Linked DNA regions of Mus musculus: regions 1, 2, 3, 4, 5 and 7 are each reported to be linked to region 6. The links are microRNA targets in miRTarBase. Many come from high-throughput screens and were not tested one by one. Region 6 holds a microRNA gene; each other region holds the end of a gene's coding sequence. Distances are from middle to middle.
What was found. Region 6 holds the annotated microRNA mmu-miR-1199-5p (UCUGAGUCCCGGUCGCGCGG, at 2,036-2,055, shown strand). A microRNA usually pairs through its seed, bases 2 to 8, with sites in the 3' UTR of a target mRNA and lowers its output. Matches are read on the target gene's strand: a 7mer-m8 pairs with bases 2 to 8, a 7mer-A1 pairs with bases 2 to 7 and ends in A, and an 8mer does both.

Region 1 (3,078 bases), not on the chromosome of region 6:
CAGATTGGGGGATTTTCTAAAGCAATACAGCTAGGATTTGTGGTGGTTGACTGTGAGTACGGAGAGAGGGGAAGGGTCACCCAGGAAAGTTGGGGGCTTTCGTACAGAGCATTTGGGATTGTTTTACAGCTTAAAATTGAAGTTGCAGCCAGTATTTCCATGGTGACCATCTAAGACATAGCAGAGAACTCCATTTCGGTTTTGCATTTCCTCTAGGAGATCATCCTGTGGAGAAAAGCACCCGAGAAACTGAGAAAACAGAGGACGAACTTTCACCAGCGGTTTGAATCTCCAGACTCGCAGGCCTCTGCGGAGCAGCCTGAGATGTAAGCAGGTGGGCAGAGCAGCAAGTGCAAGAACCGGGCCAAGAGAGCAGCTCAGCTGGCTGACGACAGTCGCAGCGTGCGGACATCCCAACTCCACGTCTGCTAGTCTTCCTTATCCTAGAGTGCTGCGTTTATTTTACAGTATGATTAAAGGTTTTGTGTATATACATTTTAAAAAGTGCTTCTTGGAAACACTGGAGAATTCCTAAGCTGCCTTTTTTGTTTTCTTTTTTACTGCACACTGATAAGCACTCAGAAGCATAAACATTAAGGATTTTCATGTGAGTAGACTGGTATTTGTAATTTTGCTTTCTTTATGCATAATGTTGAAAATCCTTTTCTCTGTTTTCATGCTAATGATTACCTCTTATTCTCTATGTGCAAAAAATTAAATATTTTTGTTCAAGTAAAATGAGAAAAACCTGAGCAGCCCTTATGTCCTACAAAGTTTTAAGGCATGGCTCCTCAGTATTTTTGAGAATTGTGTTTATTTTTACATGTGGATCAGAAACCAACCTGGTGTTACATGGTAGGCACTTCTGGGTCTACCATTCACAGCCTCCTGAATTTTAATCTTTGGGATCTCTGAGGTATATGAAAGATTGTCACCCCAGGGATGACATGGTTTGTCATCGTGGCCCTCTTGCCCCTTATTGACCACGTTTGCTATGACTTTCTGTATCATCATGTAGGTTCTGCAGTGTGGAGTTGACACATTGGCATTTTAGAACTTGTTAAACCTGTATCATTTTTTTTCCATAAAGACTTTGAAACATGTATATATTTTTTAATTTAAGGACTACTTTCCATGTGTATGCAAATCGTCACCTAGGAATGAGAGAGCTTGGGAGAACCAGCCGAAGTGTCCATAGCCGGACAATTTCTTGTTAACTGGAATATTGGCTAGTTCAAACTTGACTTCACGTAGTCTATTTAAAAAAACCCGAACCAAACAGAACAAAAAACACTAAATTCATACCATTCTCTGAAAAGAAGGCTGCAGTCAGCTGAGCACAGACACACAACTGAGGCGTATGGGGCAGGAGGAAGCCTGTGTGGGGGCCACTCTCACTCAGGGCTTGTTGGTTTCTGTACCAGTGTTCCTTGATACACCTCAGTACAGGTTTGTCAGTTAACTTTACTTTCTAGGAAGCTCAACAGCCCAACTTATGTTTCCTTAAACCTATTTTTTACTATGATGGCACTTTGATAAAATGGCCAGCAACCAGCCCTGGCCAAAGGTTCACATACCACGTCCTGGAGCAGCTATTGTCAATGTGGGTTTCTAAGGACGGCCATGTTCTCCTTCATGTAAGTGCCTGTTCAGAGTCTCAAAGTTTCAAAATGCCAAATATTTTCATGGTCACTTGCATGTATAATCTAGGAAATATTCAAGGAGATTTTGAAAAACAATTGTATTTAACCAGCCTCAAGTTGTGCAACCATGATATATAAAATAAATAATTTGAAACAGAAACTTAAGTTTGTAGTTTAAATAAAATGACTTTATTCTCAAATCTTGTCATTACAGCATTGCCCAGTGGTTAGGAAGACAGTCACAACAGTGAACTTTTATTAGTAGTACTAGCTTCAGGTTTGTTAAGGTTTTGTTTTGCTTTGTTTTTTTAGGTTTTATTTATTTTATATGTATTGCTGTTTTGGCTGCAAGTATGTCTGTGCAGGCATGTGGGCAGTGCCCAAGGAGGGCAGAAGAGAGCATTAGATCTCTTGGAGCTGAAATTACAGGTGTTTGTGAGCGGCCATGGGGGTGCTGGGAACAGAACCAAGGTAGCCAGTGCTGTTGACCACTGAACCATCTCTGGGTTCTCCAGCTTCAGTTTTAAGTAGTTATATAATGCTTTTAATTAATTTGCTTAAAACTCATATAAAATGCTTATTCATTCCATTTGATTCTTTTCTGATGCATAACCAACTTAAAATTTGGGGATTTCAGTCAAAACTTGATAAATAAAAAAGTTAACTATAGGCTAAATCTGTTTGCCCCCTGCAGAATATAGTGTCATAGATAATCTCAATCTTAGTCACATGCCAGGATCACTTCAGGAGCTTTAGAAAAACGGTCACACCTAGATCTCACCTAGACGGTAAAATCAGACTCTAATGGGAGTTGTGCTGCATACGTATAGTCCCAGCATGTGTGTTACAGAGGTAGGAGGACTACCTCAGGGTCAGCCTGGTCTACATAGTGAGTTCCAGCTTAGCTAGAGCTGTGTAACGAGACCCCCATCTAAAAAAAGATTGTTTTTCATATATTGGGGCATTAACATAAAAACAAGATTATCCAGGATTGAAGAGACAGTAATCACATTTCTTGTTTTGTTTAGGTTGGTCTCTACAGCCAGGACTGATCTCAAATTCACTATATAGCTGAGGATGACCTTAAAATACATTTAAGAAAACAATAATAAAATAGGGTTTTGTAGTCCAGGCTAGCTTTGAACTTACACACCAAGATGATCTGTAACTTGTGGTCCTCTGTCTCTGCCGCCCTGTGTTGGTATTATAGGCTTGCACCACCATGCCTGGTTTACATGGTGCTTAGACTTCATGACCCAAGGCTTTGAGCATCTTAAGCAGCATGCTGAGCAAGCACTCTGTCAACAGAGGCTAACTCTAATCCGCCCCTCTACCTCCTGGTTTGTTTATGTCGGGTTAACTGCTGATCATTTATGAAAGCATCCTCCAGTGGCATATACCTCTGCAGAGACTTTACAGATTTAAAGTTTTTCAC
Region 2 (3,081 bases), not on the chromosome of region 6:
GATTTTAACATCCAGAAAATAGCAATCTACAATTAAATAGCAGGTATGGCAATGGAAGGGAAGCATGGTTTTTGTTTTAGAAAATCACATTTTCATGCACTTCACTTCTGGATTAAATTTATTATGTACACAAAAATGTATTAAATGTTTATCTAATCTTAAGTTGTTTATTCCTTTAATTTTATATGAACAAAGTATTGAAAATAAACCTTAAGGCTTCATATGGAAAGAAATTAAGGTCCTGGACTATTTACTAGAAACCCAATTTTTGCCAGGATGTTAAAAACAGAAAAGCCAGGAAAAAAAATGATTCCTACAAATAAATATAATTTTAGTGGACTAGACCCCCTTCTCCATGACTTTTTCTTCCAGCTTCCAATATCTTTTAAGTATTAAGAAAGGAAATATAATGCGGGTGGTGGTGGTGGTGCACGGCTTTAATCCCAGCCCCTGGGTGGCAGAGGCAGGCAGATTTCTGAGTTCGAGGCCAACCTGGTCTACAGAGTGAGTTCCAGGACAGCCAGGGCTACACAGAGAAACCCTATCTCAGGAAAAAAAAAAAAAAAAGAAAGGAAATATATTATCTTATTATATTATTAGGTAGTATTTGTGGTCCAAATGGAACCTGGTTTTAAAACATTTATCAAAGCCAAGGCAGACTGTAATCCTTCAAGCTTTCCCTCTTGTCAAATATCCCATTAAAACCCAGTATGTCGATTTGGAGGAGGGTACTTCACAGAACAGAGATGCAAGTCGTCCCTTTCCCACCACTCTGAACTTGGATTTACTATTGCTTAAACACTCCATGCATCAAGGAAGGATTACAAGGGAAGGAAGGAAGGAAATATACTGGCAGAAGAGAAGGTGCAGCTCAGCTCTATTAGGAAGATGAAAAGTACCACAGAACCATGACACTTTTGAGTAAGGATGTATCAGAAGGGCAGAAACATGGAAGGGCAGTAAGGTCTCCAGTTCTGTGATGGCCTCAGCCTTGAACTGACAGTTAACTAAGTTAGAAAGATGAAACAAAAACATTCATAAAGAATGGATTGTCACAATAAAATCTTTCTTTGTGCAAGGTTTGTAGCAGCCTTGTGCAGTACAGGAAGGCAGATTCTGAACCTCCACTAACAATGACCCTCCTGTTGGCAGCTAATGCAAAGAAAACGTTATCTAAGCAGCCAGAGAAATACACTACATACCCCTTTTTAAAATGATGAAACATTTTGAGTTTCACAAACCTGTACTCATTATTCTGACTCAACCCAAGGGGGAATAAGATTGAATTTAGTCATCCTTCATATAGCTAGAATCTAATTTTATGGATTTATTCTCAGACTTGAGAGGGTAAGAGAGGAGATAGAGATTTTTTTTTATTTAATAAGGAATCTGGGTTCCTTGATACTGATATTGGATTGAGCAGGGAGAGATTTATAATCACACAATTCTCCAGAGGATCAAGGGAGATAGAAACAAATAAAATCTTTTACCTACTGAAATTGACTTTCATCAATTTGTTTTTTCACCAAAAGCACATCACTAAAAGCAAAGCCGACATGCCTTTTCAGTTGTTATTAAAGTGGTTCCAGAGAGGTTTCTTGAGATGGAAACTAACCACCACAGACCTGAAGTCAGCTTTATAAAAATACCTTACAGTGACAAGGCTTAGAGCACTCTGGGTTCAGAAAAACAAAGGATGTGGCTGGAGAAACTCTTGAAGAAGTTATCCTGTAACTATAGGACCCAAAAAAGATGTTGCTTGTACCTGTCCTATGAAACTGCCACTGCCTTTTGAATTTTCAGAGAGTACAGCATATGTCTTTGAGACACTTGGCAGTCTTAGCCTCCTCAACTGTGGTTCCCTCAAGTTTTACATCCAGTAAGGGTAATCCATGCAGATCACTGCTGCCGGCTCTTCTCACTACAGAGCAGCTGTGAACCATGGGAGTCTGCAAGTGCAAGGTGGAAAAGTCATAGAGATGAAAGGTAAGAAACAAAAGACGAGAGACCAAAAGAGCTCAGATGACTCCCTAGCTCCATGCTGAAGTTCTATCTATACCCCGGTCTCCACAATTTCTAGCCTCAAGAGAGTGCTGGGGAGCTGTGGTACCTGATGTTTCTGACCTGACTAAAACACATGCTTAACAACGACGGCAAAGACTTCCTGCACTTTAAGGATGCTCTGGTTTTGCTGTCACTTTATCAAGCAGCAGCCTCACTTCTAAAGGTGCTAATGAGAACTGCAGAGAAGTCCTCTGATTTACTCTTTGGCTCCCAAGCACATCAACTTGTTCTCTTCAAGACCCCACAAAGGTACTAACACTATGATGGCTAAGTGCTACACCTCTCTTACGACACTGAGGCTTACTACCATGTAACCACGGGGCCAGAGATCATCTTCTAAAAGTGAACACTGCTCATTCAGAAAAACAAAACAAACAACTAAGGATTTGGCTTAAACTGCAGACCAGAGGGAAACAGACTTCTTTTTTGGCCTGTATTTTTAGAAATGTCATAATGTAACCTAAGATCCCTTGTTGGCATTCTGACTCTTGCGCTGCCTCAGGGCGTCTTCCACCACGTCCTGAGTGTCAGCTGGGTGAGCTCCGTCCTCCTTTGGGGACACACTACCCTCCTTCACAACTGCTCGCTCGTTGGTGTCACTTCTCTCCTCAGCCATGATGCCTGCCAAGTTGTCCTCTTCCTCATCTTCTTCTCCTTCATCCTCATCTCCAATGTCCTCTTTCTCTTCCTCATCATCCACAAGACTGTCTTTGTTTTCTTCTTCATTTGAGTCATCCTTTTCTTCCTCTGCATCCTGTAGCTGCTCAGCTCCTTGAGCCTCTCCAGTACTCTGCTCCTGCTCTATGGAAGGAAAAGAAAAAACAAAAAAACAAAAAACCTCTGGATAATAAATGGCAACTTTGTAATTAACTCACTGATTAACCAGGAGATGAACAAATGGGGAATTTAAAAAAAAATTTTTTTTATTTTTTATTTTTATTTTTTTGGTCTTTTTGAGACAGGGTTTCTCTGTGTAGCCCTGGCTGTCTTGGAACTCACTCTGTAGACCAGGTTGGC
Region 3 (3,081 bases), 12 Mb from region 6:
ATGTCAGGTATCTGTGGAAGTCATAGGAGGGCTTCTAGGCTCCTGGAACTGGAGTTACAGATGGTTACTAGCCACTGTGTGGATGCTGAGAACTGAAACTCTACCCTTTGCAAGAGCAGAAATGCTGGTGCTCTTATCCACTGAGCCATCTTCTCAATGTGTATATATCTGAACAAATCAGGCACAATAACACAGGCCTGCCGTCACTGTCATCAATTCAGAGGGTGAGGCAATGGGAATGTGGACACTTGGAAGAAAGTAGGGACTACAAGACACTGTCTTTAGAAGTAAACAGAGGGGCTGGAGAGATGACTCGGTGGTCTGTTCCCAGAATCCTTATCAGGTGGTTTGCAACTGCTTGCAACTCCAGGGCCAGGGGATTCCACACCCTCTTCCTGCTTCTGGCCTCACCCTCACTCAGATATGCATATGCTGCTGAAAATATAATCAAAATAAAAATTAGGCTGGGTGGTGGTGATGCACCTCTTTAATCCCAGCACTTGGGAGGCAGAGGCAGGTGGATTTCTGAGTTCGAGGCCAACCTGGTCTACAGAGTGAGTTCCAGAACAGCCAGGGCTACACAGAGAAACCCTGTCTCGAAAAAACAAACGAACAAACAAACAAACAAAACAAAAAACAACAAAAAAGATCACTTTTAACAAATTGGAATGAAACTTACAATAGAGTATCCAGTTTTTACTCGCTGTTTTGTGTTTGTTTTTAAAGCACATTTACAGAGCAACCCTGCCTATATCTATCTAGTTTGGAAGCATTCTATCTCTTTAAGAGAGTCCCTCCTATCAATCATGCTCCACTGTCCTCAAGGCCCTGGCAGCTCCATTTGTGGCTGTCCCTGTTGGGGACACTTCCTGCCAAGTGAAGTGTTTTGTGTCTGGCTGCTGCCACTCAATCTCTGGTATGGTAGCCTGTGTCAGTGCTTCATTCCTGTTCGTGGCTGAGCAATAGTCCACTCTGGACATCCCACAGGTGTTGATCCATTGATCTATTGATGGACATTTGGGATGTGTCTACCTTTCAACCAGGGTCAGCTACAAAGCCAGGAACACACATAAGCAAGCCTGGGAGCCCAGCCGCCAGCAGTGAGGTTCTGAGTCACAACGCCGGTTCCCAGGCCAACTCCATCTCACGGTTGTGGATTACAAAGCAGATTCCCATGCAACTGTACACATTTTATTTCCTAAAAGGGGTGAGTGAGGATTTCTATTTCCTTTAATTAACATTTTAAATTTTCTCTTGGGCAGTGGTAGTACATGCCTTAAGTCCTAGCACTCGGGAGGCAAAGGCAGGAGGATCTCTGAGTTCGAGCCTACAGGGCAACACAGAGAAACCCTGTCTTGAAAAAGCAAAATAATAATTTTAAATTCTCCATTAATTACTCTTTGAGGGGACATGAGTGCAAGTCAAGGGACAACTTGTTTGAGTAGCGCTATGTGGGTTCCCCGGGATCGAATACAGGTTGTCAGGCTTATTCAGTCTTGAACCTGTTTCCCCCACTACTCCCTTGGGAGCGGAGGCAGATGAGAGGTTGGCAGGGTCCGATTCCCCTGGTTCACAGCTTTCTTACTCCCTCTAGTCAGATTCTTGATCCCAGAAAGTCAGGTTTGCAAGCTTCCGTGGACTTGCTTGGTGCAGGAGGGTTTTAAACTCACGCACTATCCCGATTCGGTCGCCAGGGGACGCCGTAGGCAAAAGCAAAAACATCGCACACACTTAGCCTTTGAGAGAAACAAGGGTCCTGTCCGGAAGTCTCAGAGGCTTAGATCGAGGTCTCACCTAGCCGCAGCCGGCCTAGTGCTCTCTCTATGTAGCGAAAAATGGCCTTGACCTTCTGCACACACACACTTTCTTCCTTCCTTTCTTCCTTTCTTTTTTCTTTTTTCTTTTTTGTAGGTGGCGGTAGTGCATGCCTTTAATCCCAGCACTTGGAAGACAGAGGCAGGAGGATCTGAGTTCGAGGCCAGCCTGGTTTACAGCACGAATTCGAGGACAGCCAGGGCTATACAGAGACCCTGTCTCAATACAAAACAAAACAAAATCCCAACTATTTTTGCTAGATATACTCATTTGTCACTGTGTGGGCATGCACTTACAATCGTGTGTGTAAAGAACTGACTTGCGGAAGTCAGTCTTTCTTCCACTCAGTGGGTTCCAGGAATTGAACTTGGGTTGTCAGTCTTGACAACATGAGCCTATCTGCACAGAGTCAGCTTGCTGGCCCTCTCTTGCAACCAGAGCGCTGAATGACATGGGTGCATCACAGAGTGCGCCTGGCAGGAGTGCTTTTTTGCTTCTTTTGTTTTGTTTTGGATGGGAGTTTTGAGTTTGGGGTTCTATGGATTTTTAGTGCATGATTAAGACCTGGGAATCTTGCTCAGGGTATCTGTTCGTGGGAGTCTATGTTCTTTCAAAGACTAGAGGAGATCTGGGAAAGAAACCTCTTGTCTCTTTTTGGCTGGCATTCCAGCTACTCTTCCACTGAGGCATGAGAATGGTGAGTTCAAGGCCACCCTGGGCTGCTGTTTAGGGAACATACTGAACTTAGAAGAGGACAAGGATAATCTGAGCCTTGCCCCTACACCGAGTTCCTCTGGAGGTACCACTGCACCCGGGTACCTTGCGGGGAGGGGGTCATCAGACCTCTGTCCCTGCACCCGGGTACTTTGGGGGTCACCAGAGCTCCGTCCCCACTCCTACCCTGGGAGTCACCAGAGCTCCGCCCTTGTACCCGCGTCCCCCTGGGGGTCACCAGAGTCGCGGCCGTTTCGGCCCCGCTCCCGGCCGACATCCCGGTCTACTCGGTACTTGCGACGGCGCAGAGGCTCGGTGATGCTGCGCCGCGCAGGCTCATCCAAATCCTCCGGTTGCAGGAAGCTGCGGTCCAGGAGCTCTGCGGCCTCCTGCCAGTTGGCAAAGCAGGCGGGTCCCAGACGCTGGATCTCCTCCGTGGCGTCGCTTGTCAGCACGTCCCCACCAGGCTTAAGTACCACAACCGCTGGCAGTTGACGGACAGAGAACTGGCGCCCGAGGTCCCTGCGGAGAGAGCGCTGTCAGCCTCCCTCC
Region 4 (3,081 bases), 21 Mb from region 6:
GCGCCAAGGACCAACGGCGCTTCCCGCTGCTCATTAACCAGCGTCGCAAATGCCGCAGCGACGGCGCATCCGGCGGTTCGCCGGACCTGCTCATCGCTGTCAAGTCTGTGGCTGCGGACTTTGAGCGGCGGGAAGCCGTTCGCCAGACTTGGGGAGCCGAGGGTCGCGTGCAGGGGGCACTCGTGCGCCGAGTGTTCTTGTTGGGCGTGCCCAAGGGGGCGGGCTCTGGCGGGGCAGGCACCCGTTCGCACTGGCGCACCCTGCTGGAGGCGGAGAGCCGAGCTTATGCAGACATTCTGCTCTGGGCTTTCGAAGACACCTTTTTCAATCTAACGCTGAAGGAGATTCACTTTCTATCTTGGGCCTCAGCATTCTGTCCAGATGTACACTTTGTTTTTAAGGGCGATGCAGATGTGTTCGTGCACGTGAGGAACCTGCTGCAGTTTCTGGAGCTCCGGGATCCCGCACAGGACCTTCTTGCGGGTGATGTGATTGTGCAGGCAAGGCCAATCCGAGCTAGAGCCAGCAAGTACTTCATTCCCCGGGCTGTGTATGGACTGCCCGTTTACCCTGCCTACGCAGGTGGCGGCGGCTTTGTTCTTTCGGGAGCCACGCTCCGCCGCCTAGCTGATGCTTGCTCACAAGTTGAGCTCTTTCCCATAGACGATGTCTTTCTAGGCATGTGTTTGCAGCGCTTGCGGCTCACACCAGAGCCTCATCCAGCGTTTCGCACCTTTGGCATCTCCCAGCCTTCAGCTGCACCTCATCTTCGAACCTTTGACCCCTGTTTCTACCGAGAACTGGTGGTAGTACATGGGCTGTCTGCAGCTGACATCTGGCTTATGTGGCGCTTGTTGCATGGGCCTCAGGGCCCAGTCTGTGCACATCCGCAGCCTGTGGCAACAGGTCCCTTCCAATGGAATTCTTAGTTATCTCTCACGGTATCAAACTTCTCTTACTCAGCTGCAGGACAGAACATGAAAGAACCCAAAGGGGTTTTCCATGTGGGTTTATGGTGTACATGACTTTTCTCCAGATCACTCACTGAGAGAGCTAGGGCTGGGATGAAACAAACACAAGTGGATATACCCATAGCCAGGCCTCAGCCCTCGTGGACCTGGCAGGCATTTTCGTATAGTTACTAGCTTCCTTCCTTCTCTCATTGGATTCCCAGTGGCCATATCTTATCTGTTCCCTTTGAGGTCTGGTGTTAGAGCTAACTAAGCCCTTCAGGTCGAGGTTTGCCTGTAGCATGTGGGGCGGGGCCATCATGTGTCACCGTCTTGCCCACTATACACACACACACAAAACCATGCCAGTGTACTTCTGAAGGGTGACCCATCCCCCTCCCGGAAGGAGTCCTAAGATTCCTCCACTATAAGATTGCTCATATTCTTCAACTCCAGCTTCAAGGAAATCAACAGCTCACATTTTAGTACAAACAGCCCAGTGGCAGCACATGGCACGCTGTCACTGTGGGCATAGGTGCTTTATTGGAAGGGGGACGAGGAAGTCTCCTCTGATCACGAGGATGGGAAGAGTCCTGGCTACCCTGACAGTGGGATGTGCAGGGTCTCTGGCCAGACGAAGGTCCAAATGGGAAGACACCTGTCAAATCAGTCATGGGAGTGCCACACAGGCCTGGCTGTAGGCCCAGGAACCATACAGACAGCTGGGGCAGGTCCCCTGCACATTCATCATGAACTATACAAGATGAGGCTGTACATGAGTTAATTACAAAAGTCATTATTTACAAAAATCTGTACACACATTTGAAAAACTCACAAAATTGTCATCTATGTATCACAAGTTGCTAGACCAAAATATTAAAAATGGGATAAAATTATATGTTTCTCTTCTCAATTCTTTTCAAAAGGATTACTATTTTAAAGCACATATATGCTACTTCCCATTAGCAAGACCCATGTAAGAAACCAAGCAGCCTAGTGTTCCTTGAGCCTCTAGGCCTCAAACCAAGTAGCCAGGCCAGGCCAGGCCAGTGCCCAGAACTAGGGCAAGGAGCTGGCCCACAGTGCATAACAGAATGCTGTAATGTAACAAAAGGAGGAAGGTGTCTTTGGCTAACACTTTGGCATTAAATAAAAGAGGCAAACAAGATGGAGACATGCAGCCCTGTCAGCCAGGTTGGACCAAGAGACACAGGTGACCTTAAAGGCTGGCTCCCAGAGCAGCAGTGGGAACCAGGCCTGGTACATACCTGGTAGGAAACGATTTCATCCACTTAGGTGCCACCTGGGCACGGCAAGGAGCACTCACAGGAGAAGCAGGGAAGGGCAGTGGGCCACACCAGCCACAGCCAGCTCATCAAGTCACTAAAGTGGATGGAGTGCAAATATTGCAACCAAGTACTACCGACATGCTACCTGCTCTGCTCACCTTAGGGGCCACGTGGCAATGTCGGGCCAAAAGCAGGAGCCTGTTCTCATCCTGGGAATATTTTCTTAGCTAGAGAAAGAGTCCTGTCTTCCCTATGTGAGCAGGGCAGGGGCTGACGTGTCCTTTATTACATGTTAGTTATGAGAGCCCTCATCATGGCTCTAAGTTTGTGCTTCTTTTTGCACACTGTGTTCTCTCCTGGCAACAGCAGGCTTAGGACAGAGTATCTGGGTCCTCCGTCCCACGGCAGAGGACTCAGCCCAAATCCTACTTCCAAACCCTTCTGAGTCCCAGGGCCCTTCAACACTGCCAAGGTGTCCAAGCAAACACACAGGGTGGCACAGAGACCCACTGAGCTGGATGTGACGCACAGTTCCATGGACAGGGAAAACAGTGATGTCCTTAGGGCAGCTCTGCTGTTCTCAGGTGGGCACCAGGCCTGGGGGGGCCATACAGGGTCACTGAGGCAATGTGGTTGTTCTGCATGACCTGGTGTAAGAAGAGAACAGCAGATCACGAGGGAAGGACTGGGTGGGCTAGAGGGTGCACACACAGCGCACTTCACACAGGCCCGGGCCCTGCATTTCCTCAATCACCAACCTCCTGTCAGTGGGGCTTACTTCTGCTCAAGGCCTGCCTGTTGTTCACAGGACACATGGCTTTTATAAACCCGCGTATCATATC
Region 5 (3,081 bases), not on the chromosome of region 6:
TCAATCTGTGGGTCTCCGCCCCTCCAGGATCAAACAACCCCTTTACAGGGGTCGCCTAAGATGATCTGAAAACACATTTTTCCATCTGTTAAGACCATAACTGAGATACCTCTCTTCTGTCTCCAGGCAGGTACCTGTAGATACACCTACGTGGGAGTACGTGGAACTGTACTAAAGGTTGGCAGCGTTAGGAAGGTTGAGGACCACTGGTCTAGAACTCTGAGAATAGCAGCTATCAGGAGACATAATATGGGGTCTGGTTCGCATCCTCACTGAGTTGATTAGGCAAGGTGAGGTTGGGAACAACCCTAGTGGAGTCTTGGTGTAGTAGCCAAGAGCAGGAGGCACAGGTGGTGGCAGAGAGGGGACCTGGGGAACCCTTGTCCTCTCAGGCTAAGCTGAGAAGGCAGGAATGGATTGCAAGAATGAAGACACTAGGAAGGCTCTGCTCTCCCCACCATCCTACATCCCTGTTGGTCTGTCCCCAGCAGTGGTCCAGGCAGAGCCCAGCTGTCTGAGATGGGTTTGCACAGACTCCTTTTTCTGATTCCTGTTCCTCTCCTGGGGATGGATCATGACCACATCCATCCCTCCGGTGGTTCCTCTGGAGGATCCTGCTGTGGCTACACTGTCACCAGCATCTGCCACTTGCTTTCCATGTCTCCAGATTGGGACATTCATAGGATATGTCTCCCTGTCCTCTACCCTCTGGCTCCTGGCTGCCACTTAGACACTAGGGGATTGTAGGCTTTCTCCCATGTAAGACAGGCAAGTAGACATTTGTCCTGGAGATATCTTGGCATCACTCTGGTCCTGGTGGGGATCAGGGAATGAGCGACAAACACTATCCAAAGTCTACCCATAGTGTGGCAAAAAGGGAAGATTCTTGTTGGAAAACAGACTTATGAATCAAGGGTTTGCAAACCCTTCTTGTCCTCCAGGGGACCCCCTGTTTTGCATTGCATTCGGGGATGACAGCCATCATGGTGTAGCATGACGTTTCCTGGGGAGACATGAACAAATGTCTGTTCATCTCAGACAGGGCACAATGACTGAGCAAGGAAGATTCCACCTGGGTGTAAGTGGATGAGCCGATAGGTTTATTGGGGTTACTAGTAAAGCATAGGTGGGGGTTTACAGGGGTGTAGGTGATCTAAGTATTGCATTGTCCCAAAGCCTCAACTTTCACCAACAATAACTCAAGAAAGCTGCATTCCTGGGCTTCCTCCTGAGGGAGTGGGTAGAGCCACAGGCAAGGCCTGGGGACCCTTCCGGCATCTTCACCCCTAAGGCCCAGTTATCACGTGTTTTTCTCATTTCATTGCGGTGGCTGTGGGCCAGGTACTTTGTAGTCATCACAACTTCAGCCCTATGAAGGTCATGGTCACATTACTTGGGGAACTGTCTTAGTCAGGGTTTCTATTCCCCCACAAACATCACAACCAAGAAGCAAGTTGGGGAGGAAAGGGTTTATTCAGCTTACACTTCCACATTGCTGTTCATCACTAAAGGAAGTCAGAACTGGAACTCAAACAGGTCAGGAAGCAGGAGCTGATGCAGAGGCCATGGAGGGATGTTTCTTATTGGCTTGCTTCCCCTGGCTTGCTCAGCTTGATCTCTTATAGAACTCAAGACTACCAGCCCAGGGATGGCACCACCCACAATGGGCCCTCCTCTTTGATCACCAACTGAGAAAATGCCCCACAGCTGGATCTCATGGAGGCATTTCCCCAACTGAAGCTCCTTTCTCTGATAACTCCAGCCTATGTCAAGTTGACACACAAAACCAGCCAGTACAGGAACATAGTTGGACCTCAGCTGGTGGGTCTCTGTAGGCAGAGGGATATACACAGGCTCAAGGGGCAGAGAGATGCCAGGGAGGAGTATGGCTTCTTGGCAGGGCTGAGGCACTCCTGGGTGGGGCTGTGGAAGTTGGGGCAGAGCCCATGGTAGATGAACAGCAGACTAGAAGATCTAGAGATGTCTGGTTCCTAGGGTGTCTAGTGTGGGAGTCAGGGACACCGGGATGATCATGGTTGAGGTCAATGAAGCCCCACCAGGTGGGTAAACAGTGGGAAGAAAGGGAGGGCTATGGGTGGGCAGGTGGGCAGAAGGGAGATGGTGTGAGGAAGCACATACATGCATATATACATATATAACATACACATACAAACATACATACACACAGACATGTCGACACACAAAGACATAATACATCTATAGACATACAGATACACTTACAGATACACTACACATAAACACACAGACATTCACACAGATACACATGAACATAAGTACATACATACATTTACATATAGATAGACACATATAGATACCCAAAGATACACAGATATAGACACACACACAGACATATGAACACACATACATACACACATTTACATACAGACAGACACATATAGATACTCACAGATACACAGACACACAGAGTCACCTATAGACACACTATACACAAACAGACACACATACATGAATACACACACACACACACACACACATACATATATACAGACACATATAGATACCCACAGATACACAGACACGCACATAGACACACCCTCATATAGGCACACAGACATACCACAAATACACACATACAGATAAATACAACACACACACACACACACTCAGATACTCTGAGTATCACTTGCTGAGGGCTGGTGTCACTTTCTATCAATGGTGACCACTGATCTCTCTAGACTTCACACAGCGGCCTGTGGGAAGGAAGACAGGCTGGTTACCTAAGTCTTTCCGCAGAGCTGAGGCCACTCACCACACAGGAAGTGGAGGCACAGGGACTACAGGGGCCATGACTGAGTCTTGCCCCTCAGGGAGGACCATGTCTGCCCATGCCTATGTCTGTGATACTTCTGTCTGCCTCACATGTCCCTCACCTTTACCGGCCATGGCTTGATGGGATTGCCATCCCTGTCCACGCAGCACAGGGCAGATGCGTACACGGTAGCCTCCTTGGCAAGCAGATCCCAGCGAGCGTTGTGGCCCAGGTTGCCTGTCGGGTCAGCTGGGTCCAGGATGACAGGCCTGCAATTGTAACCAGGGCTA
Region 6 (3,081 bases):
ACATGGGCACTTTAAAACCAAGCCATCATCCCAGGCCTTAAACTTACTCTTGTTTAAAGATTTATTTGTTTTTATTTTATGTGTATCAGCCATGTGCCTGCACATGTATCTGTGCACCATGTTGGGACAGTGCCTGGGTTTGGGAGGAGGTCAGGTCCCATAAGGTTAGAGTTACAGATAGTGTGAACCATCCTGGTCATCTGGAAGAGCAGCCCGTGCTCTTAACTGATGAGCCATCTTTCCAACCCAAGAGGAGGCACCGTTTGAGGCTGGTTGTAAGAGAGGACAGACTGAAAAGGGTGACCAAGTAGTTGGGATTGTGTAGCCCTCTATTTCCATTTACTTTTTTGGTGAAGCAAGATCTGGAAATGCAGGTGTCCTGGAACTCATTACGGAGAATAGGGGCTGGCCTGAGACACCTCTACCTCTGCCTCCTGAGTGCTGGGATTAAAGGAGTGTGCCACCACTCTCTTAATCCCATTTAATCTTTCCATTTTCTTTAGGCAATTCTTTCTTCTAGGTTACTATAGAACACAGGGTGGGCCGGTTTTTGTGAAAGCCGGGTTCCACAAGGGCGAGTGGAAATGTCTCTACGAGTGGTTAGCCCTCACTCTGGGTCATCGACCCTGTCCCGAAACACAGATCGGGCACCAGACAAAGGTCGCTACTGCCTCCCGCTAACCCGGTGGCTCCTCTGCCCCATCTTGGGCCTCCTGGGCAAACTGGTCCAAGCTGACCGCCTTCCAGCCACAATTGCTCGGCTGAGGCCCGGAAGTCCTGTAATGTCTGTGCCCTCAAACACCGCTCATTCTAGCTGGACACTTGGCTGCCAATGCCTTGCGGGCTTTTCTGGAAGGTGGGGGTGGGGAATCTGCCCCAGGGTTTTGAGTGGCGGCAGCGCCGCTGCAAACCAGACAGAGCTGAGCAGCCCCGGGTAGCAGCAGCACCCAGTGCGGCGGCCCCGGGCGACCCTCGGGCTGGACTCGAGCTGTGTTGCCTCAGCGATCAGTGTGCAGAGAAGGCCCGGAGATCACGGGATAGGGGGCGGGGGGAAGGAGAGTGGTGTCGCTGGCCGCAGGCTGGCACTTGCTGACCTAGACTAGTGAGGTCAGCGAAAGACGACCGGGGAAACACTCTGTAAGGAGGCCGTGGTTCAGCGATCAGCGCGGCGCTCCGCTAGAGGTCAGGTCTCCGGAAAGTGATGAAAAAAAAAAAAAAAAAAAAAAAAGACCCCAGAATGCCAGCGTGGTACCAGAGGGAAAGGGCGACACATACCCCCTGGGTAGTGAGTTCAGGGAAGCCCTTTCCGAAGAAGCCACCCCTTCAGTCAACCCGTGTGTTCAGGTGGCGGGAATCCGGAGAGCAGTGGAGGCGCCCTGGCCCATAGGGCGGGTCCAGGGCCACTCGAATCCAGCTGGCAGGTGACGGGGGCGGTGCCCAGTCCTGCCCCCAGGGGATGTTCCTGGAGGCCAGAGGCGGGTCAAAGAAGAGTGCTGGCGACGCCTATGAACCTCGGGCGGCGGCTGTAACTACAGGTACTGCACAGGGCACCGTGTCCTACCTATTTGGGCATCTCAATTCGGCTCTGAGAACTAAAATTTTCAAAGGGCGCCTAACTCCAAACATCCATGTCCTCGGGTGTCCGAGAGTGGAGTCCTGGGGTCGCCTGAAGGCTACGTGTTCCGGGAGCCGCAGAGCCAGGGCACCGAGGGCTGCTGGGGGAGGCAGTGAGGTCCTGGAAACCTCTGGAGAGGAGCACTTGCAGACTCTGGAGCCAGAGAGCCAGGTCCCGCAGGTGCCAGTTGAGCACCGGACCGAGCGCCCGGGCGGTCCACAGCTGGGCCGCCTGGCACTAGTATAACGGAGGTACTGGGGCAGTTGTGCCCCTGTCTCGGCTCAGAGGCCTCCAGGTGTGTTTTCTACCGAAGCCCGCGGCATCCAAACCGGCGCCGGCGGAATTGCAGATGGAGACGCCCATCCAGCGCGAAATCCGCCGCAGCTGCGAGCGGGAGGAAAGCCTGCGCCGGAGCCGGGGTCTGAGTCCCGGTCGCGCGGGCGAGGAACTCATTGAGTTGCGCGTGCGGCCGGTGCTCAGTCGGCCCGGCTCCGGTACTCCGCTGCCGCGCGCCCTGGAGCGCGCTCGGGCGGGCGCGAAGATGCAACGGGACATCGAACGCGAGGCTCACAGGCAGGCGGCGCTGGCGAGCCCCGCGGTTCCGGAGCCTAGCGCCCGGCGGCGGCCGCAGCCGCTGGACGAACTCAAGCGCTTCTTTGAGGCTGCGGCGGAGGACGGCGCTGGCTTGCAGAGGCAGCCAGAGACCGGAGGCCGGCTGCACCCCGCCGTTCAGGACGGCTGTCCGGTACTGGGGCAGTTGCCACCGCTCGTTGCCCCGTCACTGCTGGAGCAGGAGGTGCGACGAGTGCGCGAGCGCGAGCGGGAGCTGCAGTTGCAGCGGCGCAGCATCTACGGCGACGCCGAGGTCCAGGAGCCAGCGCCGAGCCTCACCCGTAAGCGGTCCCCCTGGGCCCTAGAGCTCCAGCTGTCTCCACCTCCAGTGATCATTCATCTGTAGGCTTGCAGACCCTTAACTATTCTCCTGGGGGTTCACCTTCTTTTCTTCACTCCCACTCCTGGAGTGAGGATCCCCACATCCATCAGACCTTGGAACCTTGACTTCTGGCGTTCTCGGGTCCTCTGTAGTACTCGGGTGCCTCTCTACATTGAGTTTGCCTCATTCCTGTTCCTGGGTCCTCAGAACTGGGTGGAGGCCTTCATGGGGAAGAGGGGTGCACACCTGTATGTATATAAGGGGTGCGGCCATCCTCCAGCTGGCAAGAGGAGGGGCAGTCGCGGCTGAGTGTTCCTTCCCCCACAGCGAGCAGGGGAGATGGAAAATTGTCGGTGATCTGGCCTCCGCGGAGACGGGCCTCTGAGAAGGTGGGAGACTCCCTTTCCGATGCTTGTCGGTCTCCCAGCCCTCCCTGCAGCACCTGGGCACTGGGGTGGAGGGAGAAGGTGCCTCTTGGTCCCCTGGAGCGCCACTCTAACCCAAACTCAAAAGTCCTAGACGCGATCCAGAG
Region 7 (3,081 bases), not on the chromosome of region 6:
AAAGATGAAAATCATCTTTGTTATTCCCTCAGGTCCATGTTATTTACAGATAATCAAAGCTTATGTTCCAGGCCAGCCAGATACCAAGTGATTTATTGTAGAAGAATTGGGCAAGATCTTTTTGTTGATCATCTAATAAGACAGTAAGATTTCAGGACACAATTCTTGTGTTTAGACAGAGAAAATAAGATATTATAATGATCCTGTAAATGGGTGTTTAGTTACGGGATACTGTGGGAGACTTGCTTTAAATGCTGAATTGAACTTGATAGACAAGGACCTTGGATAGAATTCGGTAGGCAGGGGAGCACATTTTAAAAAAATAATAATAACAAAGGCTTTTGTTCTATCTTCCTTTTGCCACCAAATTTTCAAACAGATACTAAAAAGTTGGTTAACTTGATGAGGTCAGCAGAGCCAAGAATCAGCGATGTCACCAACAGCATGGAGCACGCCATTGTCTCCCGGAGCCCCCGAATCCGCTACAACCCTGGCCTGGACGTCAAGTTTCTCTATCTCACCCTGGCTAAGCTGCCCACCCCTGTGACAGATTTCATCCTTAGCAGATACTTGCCAAGACCAGCAGACAGTGTTTGAGCTGGCGAGCTCAAGGGGTAGCCAGTGGAGCACAGGGGAGAGGGCAAAGGACTGGGGGATCACAAGAGGTGTTGTCATATATCTTGTGGGCAGAGAAGAGCATACTCAGCTCACTCCCACTGCAGGCTGATGTCTCCTTCCATCTGCTGGGGCCTCTAGAAACCTGATGTGACCCCGGCTGATGTAGATAGAGCGTTGCAGCATAGGCCGCAAGACACCCCTCACCAAGGCAGGTACTAGTGCTCCTGGACCTGAAAAGCCGGCTTCTGTTGACTGACAAGCTGTCACCACCTCCGTAAAACACCATGGGACAATCTAGCCCACAGGAGAATCTCGGTCCCCTCCCCACAGCTCTCAAAGCAGGCACTGGTTTGTGTATATATGGAATATGTAACATGGCAACAAGAACTGCCAGAGCATACTCAGAGAAGGTTTTAAATAGTTTTCTTTTCTTTGCATTTCTCTATCTGATTGGGATCCATATAATGCTTGCTTCTCTAATCACCATTGATTCCTGTTTCAAGTATTTATTGAGCACTTACTACGTACCAGCACCAAAACTCTGGGGGTATGTGAGGGTGATGAAATCATGAACTTGTCTTGTTTTGTTTTGTTTTGTTTGTCTCACGTTTTACTTTGTTACAGTAGCTAGCAGCAGAGATAGGACAGTGACCAAGGGGACAAAGATCAGAAAAAGGAAATTTGAAGGACCCTGGATCTCAATAGTCCTAGACTCGGATGTTTACTGGGATCACTCAGTTACTTAAAATGCGTACGGAAGCTGGAGAGATGGCTCGGAGGTTAAGAGCATTTGTGCCTCGCAGAATCTGGAATAGATCCCCAGTCTCCACACCGTGTCTCACAGCCTCCATAATTCCAGTTCCAGGGGATCGGATGCCCCCTTCTGACCTCCACAGGTACCAAGCATGAATGTAATGTGTATTGATACATGCAGGCAAAAACACGCATACACATAAAATAAGATAAATCTTTAAAAAGTGAATGTGTAAGGAAGCTGGGCATGGTATCTCATGTTTGTAATCCCAACATTTATGGGGCTAAGACAGGAGGATTTTTGTGAGTCTAAGGAAAGACTAGATTACAAAATGAGACACTGTCTCAAGAAACAAACCCCAGGAAACAAACAAAAGAACTCATAGGAACCCCAATGTTAGAAAATCCGATTCAATAAACCTGAGTGAGGCAGAGCCCAGAACTATGAATTGTGTACTAAGGACCTAAATGTACCTGCGCACCTGGGAGGCAGTGATAGTCCCACAGGAGAAGCAGCCAATCAGCTCAGAGTGGGAAGTCATTTTCGCCAAGGCACCCAGCTAAGTGGTCAAACAAACAGAACCCTTTTCCAGCAGCAGGTGATGAACTGTTTGTAACATCTTCAAATAAGTCATAGAACTAAATAATTCATGTCTTTAAAAATAGCTACCAACTTCTGAGTTATATGAACTATTAATGAAAAAGGATACTTTTTTGATCAAGTTCATATACTGAATATCAAACCCAGAGCCTGAGCATCATAGACAAGCACTCACCACTGACCTACATTCCCACCCTCAGATTTTCAATTAGCTTACTCAGAAGCTCAGGCTGGCCTTGAACTTGCTATAACTTTCAATATTCCCTCAAACTCATAATTCTCCTGCCTCTACTCCCAGAGTGCTATGACTACAGGCATGTGCCATCAGTCCCAACAATAACAGTGATAAAATAAATAAATAGAATTGTTTAAAATTCTGCAGTTTGTGCAATAAAGGTCAAATATTATTATTTAAAAATCAAAATGTTTTTAGTTTATGTTTCATCTACTTCTGGCTGAGGTTGAAGATAGTCGTTTCTACAAACTCTTTGCAAATAAGGCAACTGTCACAGTTTCTAGGAATTAACATGAAGATATACCTGGGCCAGGAAGGAAACACTATATAATCCACTACAGTCTGTTAACTTCTATTCCTAGCAGCAAATTCAGGCATGGGTAATGGTGCATACCTTTAATCGCAGCTCCGAGAAGGTAGAGGCAAGAAGATCCAGAGTTCTAAGTTACCCTGTGTTACATGTGTTTGAGGACAGCTTGGATCACATGAGACCCTGTACAAACAAATGACACAAAATTGCATCCGTCTAAGGAAACTGTTAGACAATATTCTGAGATCTTCATGTATGCTCTCCCAGGCTTCTTTCCATTCCTCTACTCAAGTAGGTAGCTAAAGTGAGACTTTACTTAGGGTGAGATGCTTGACAGAACACAGATTTCCTTCCTCAGTTTTTATTTTCTCCAGCTCTGAGGTTGTTAGAGAAATTATAGACTTTGGGGAATGAAGTACAAATAATGTTACTTCTGGACATGTCCTGATCTCCATGAAGCTGTCCTTCCTCCAAAGACATGGCTGGTAAGACAAGAGGGTTAAGGCTTCTGGGGAAGTTTCTGGAAGCACTTTGGGAAGTGGCGAGCCTAGAGAGAACCACTGC

Region 1: miRTarBase lists Vps26a as a target of mmu-miR-1199-5p. Seed matches in the 3' UTR shown: 7mer-A1 at 577-583.
Region 2: miRTarBase lists Tmx4 as a target of mmu-miR-1199-5p. Seed matches in the 3' UTR shown: 7mer-A1 at 475-481.
Region 3: miRTarBase lists Nxnl1 as a target of mmu-miR-1199-5p. Seed matches in the 3' UTR shown: 7mer-A1 at 1,966-1,972, 7mer-A1 at 1,315-1,321 and 8mer at 1,108-1,115.
Region 4: miRTarBase lists D230025D16Rik as a target of mmu-miR-1199-5p. Seed matches in the 3' UTR shown: 8mer at 2,680-2,687.
Region 5: miRTarBase lists Oas3 as a target of mmu-miR-1199-5p. Seed matches in the 3' UTR shown: 7mer-A1 at 2,654-2,660.
Region 7: miRTarBase lists Sdr9c7 as a target of mmu-miR-1199-5p. Seed matches in the 3' UTR shown: 7mer-A1 at 1,018-1,024 and 7mer-A1 at 2,188-2,194.

What each region holds. Positions count from the first base shown.
Region 1 is chr10:62,453,997-62,457,074 of GRCm38, reverse strand. It overlaps Vps26a (VPS26 retromer complex component A), which reads left to right. Exons shown (of 9, transcript NM_133672.3): 9 at 217-2,232. The coding sequence ends at 330. Among named protein-coding and RNA genes, the nearest start is that of Supv3l1, 5.8 kb to the right of the region's middle.
Region 2 is chr2:134,596,001-134,599,081 of GRCm38, forward strand. It overlaps Tmx4 (thioredoxin-related transmembrane protein 4), which reads right to left. Exons shown (of 8, transcript NM_029148.1): 8 at 1-2,865. The coding sequence ends at 2,525. Among named protein-coding and RNA genes, the nearest start is that of Hao1, 43 kb to the left of the region's middle.
Region 3 is chr8:71,559,886-71,562,966 of GRCm38, forward strand. It overlaps Nxnl1 (nucleoredoxin-like 1), which reads right to left. Exons shown (of 2, transcript NM_145598.2): 2 at 670-3,051. The coding sequence ends at 2,724. Among named protein-coding and RNA genes, the nearest start is that of Tmem221, 2.6 kb to the left of the region's middle.
Region 4 is chr8:105,251,403-105,254,483 of GRCm38, reverse strand. It overlaps D230025D16Rik (RIKEN cDNA D230025D16 gene), which reads right to left. Exons shown (of 16, transcript NM_145604.3): 16 at 1,431-2,886. The coding sequence ends at 2,800. It overlaps B3gnt9 (UDP-GlcNAc:betaGal beta-1,3-N-acetylglucosaminyltransferase 9), which reads left to right. Exons shown (of 2, transcript NM_178879.4): 2 at 1-1,846. The coding sequence ends at 929. Among named protein-coding and RNA genes, the nearest start is that of B3gnt9, 2.2 kb to the left of the region's middle.
Region 5 is chr5:120,751,644-120,754,724 of GRCm38, forward strand. It overlaps Oas3 (2'-5' oligoadenylate synthetase 3), which reads right to left. Exons shown (of 16, transcript NM_145226.2): 15 at 2,913-3,060; 16 at 1,455-2,732. The coding sequence ends at 2,721. Among named protein-coding and RNA genes, the nearest start is that of Oas2, 3.3 kb to the left of the region's middle.
Region 6 is chr8:84,010,568-84,013,648 of GRCm38, reverse strand. It overlaps Mir1199 (microRNA 1199), which reads left to right and starts at 2,016; the gene lies at 2,016-2,134. Misp3 (MISP family member 3) reads left to right here and starts at 1,929. Exons shown (of 3, transcript NM_001291292.1): 1 at 1,929-2,508; 2 at 2,877-2,938. The coding sequence starts at 1,965.
Region 7 is chr10:127,909,366-127,912,446 of GRCm38, forward strand. Sdr9c7 (4short chain dehydrogenase/reductase family 9C, member 7) reads left to right here. Exons shown (of 4, transcript NM_027301.3): 4 at 380-2,396. The coding sequence ends at 597. Among named protein-coding and RNA genes, the nearest start is that of Sdr9c7, 12 kb to the left of the region's middle.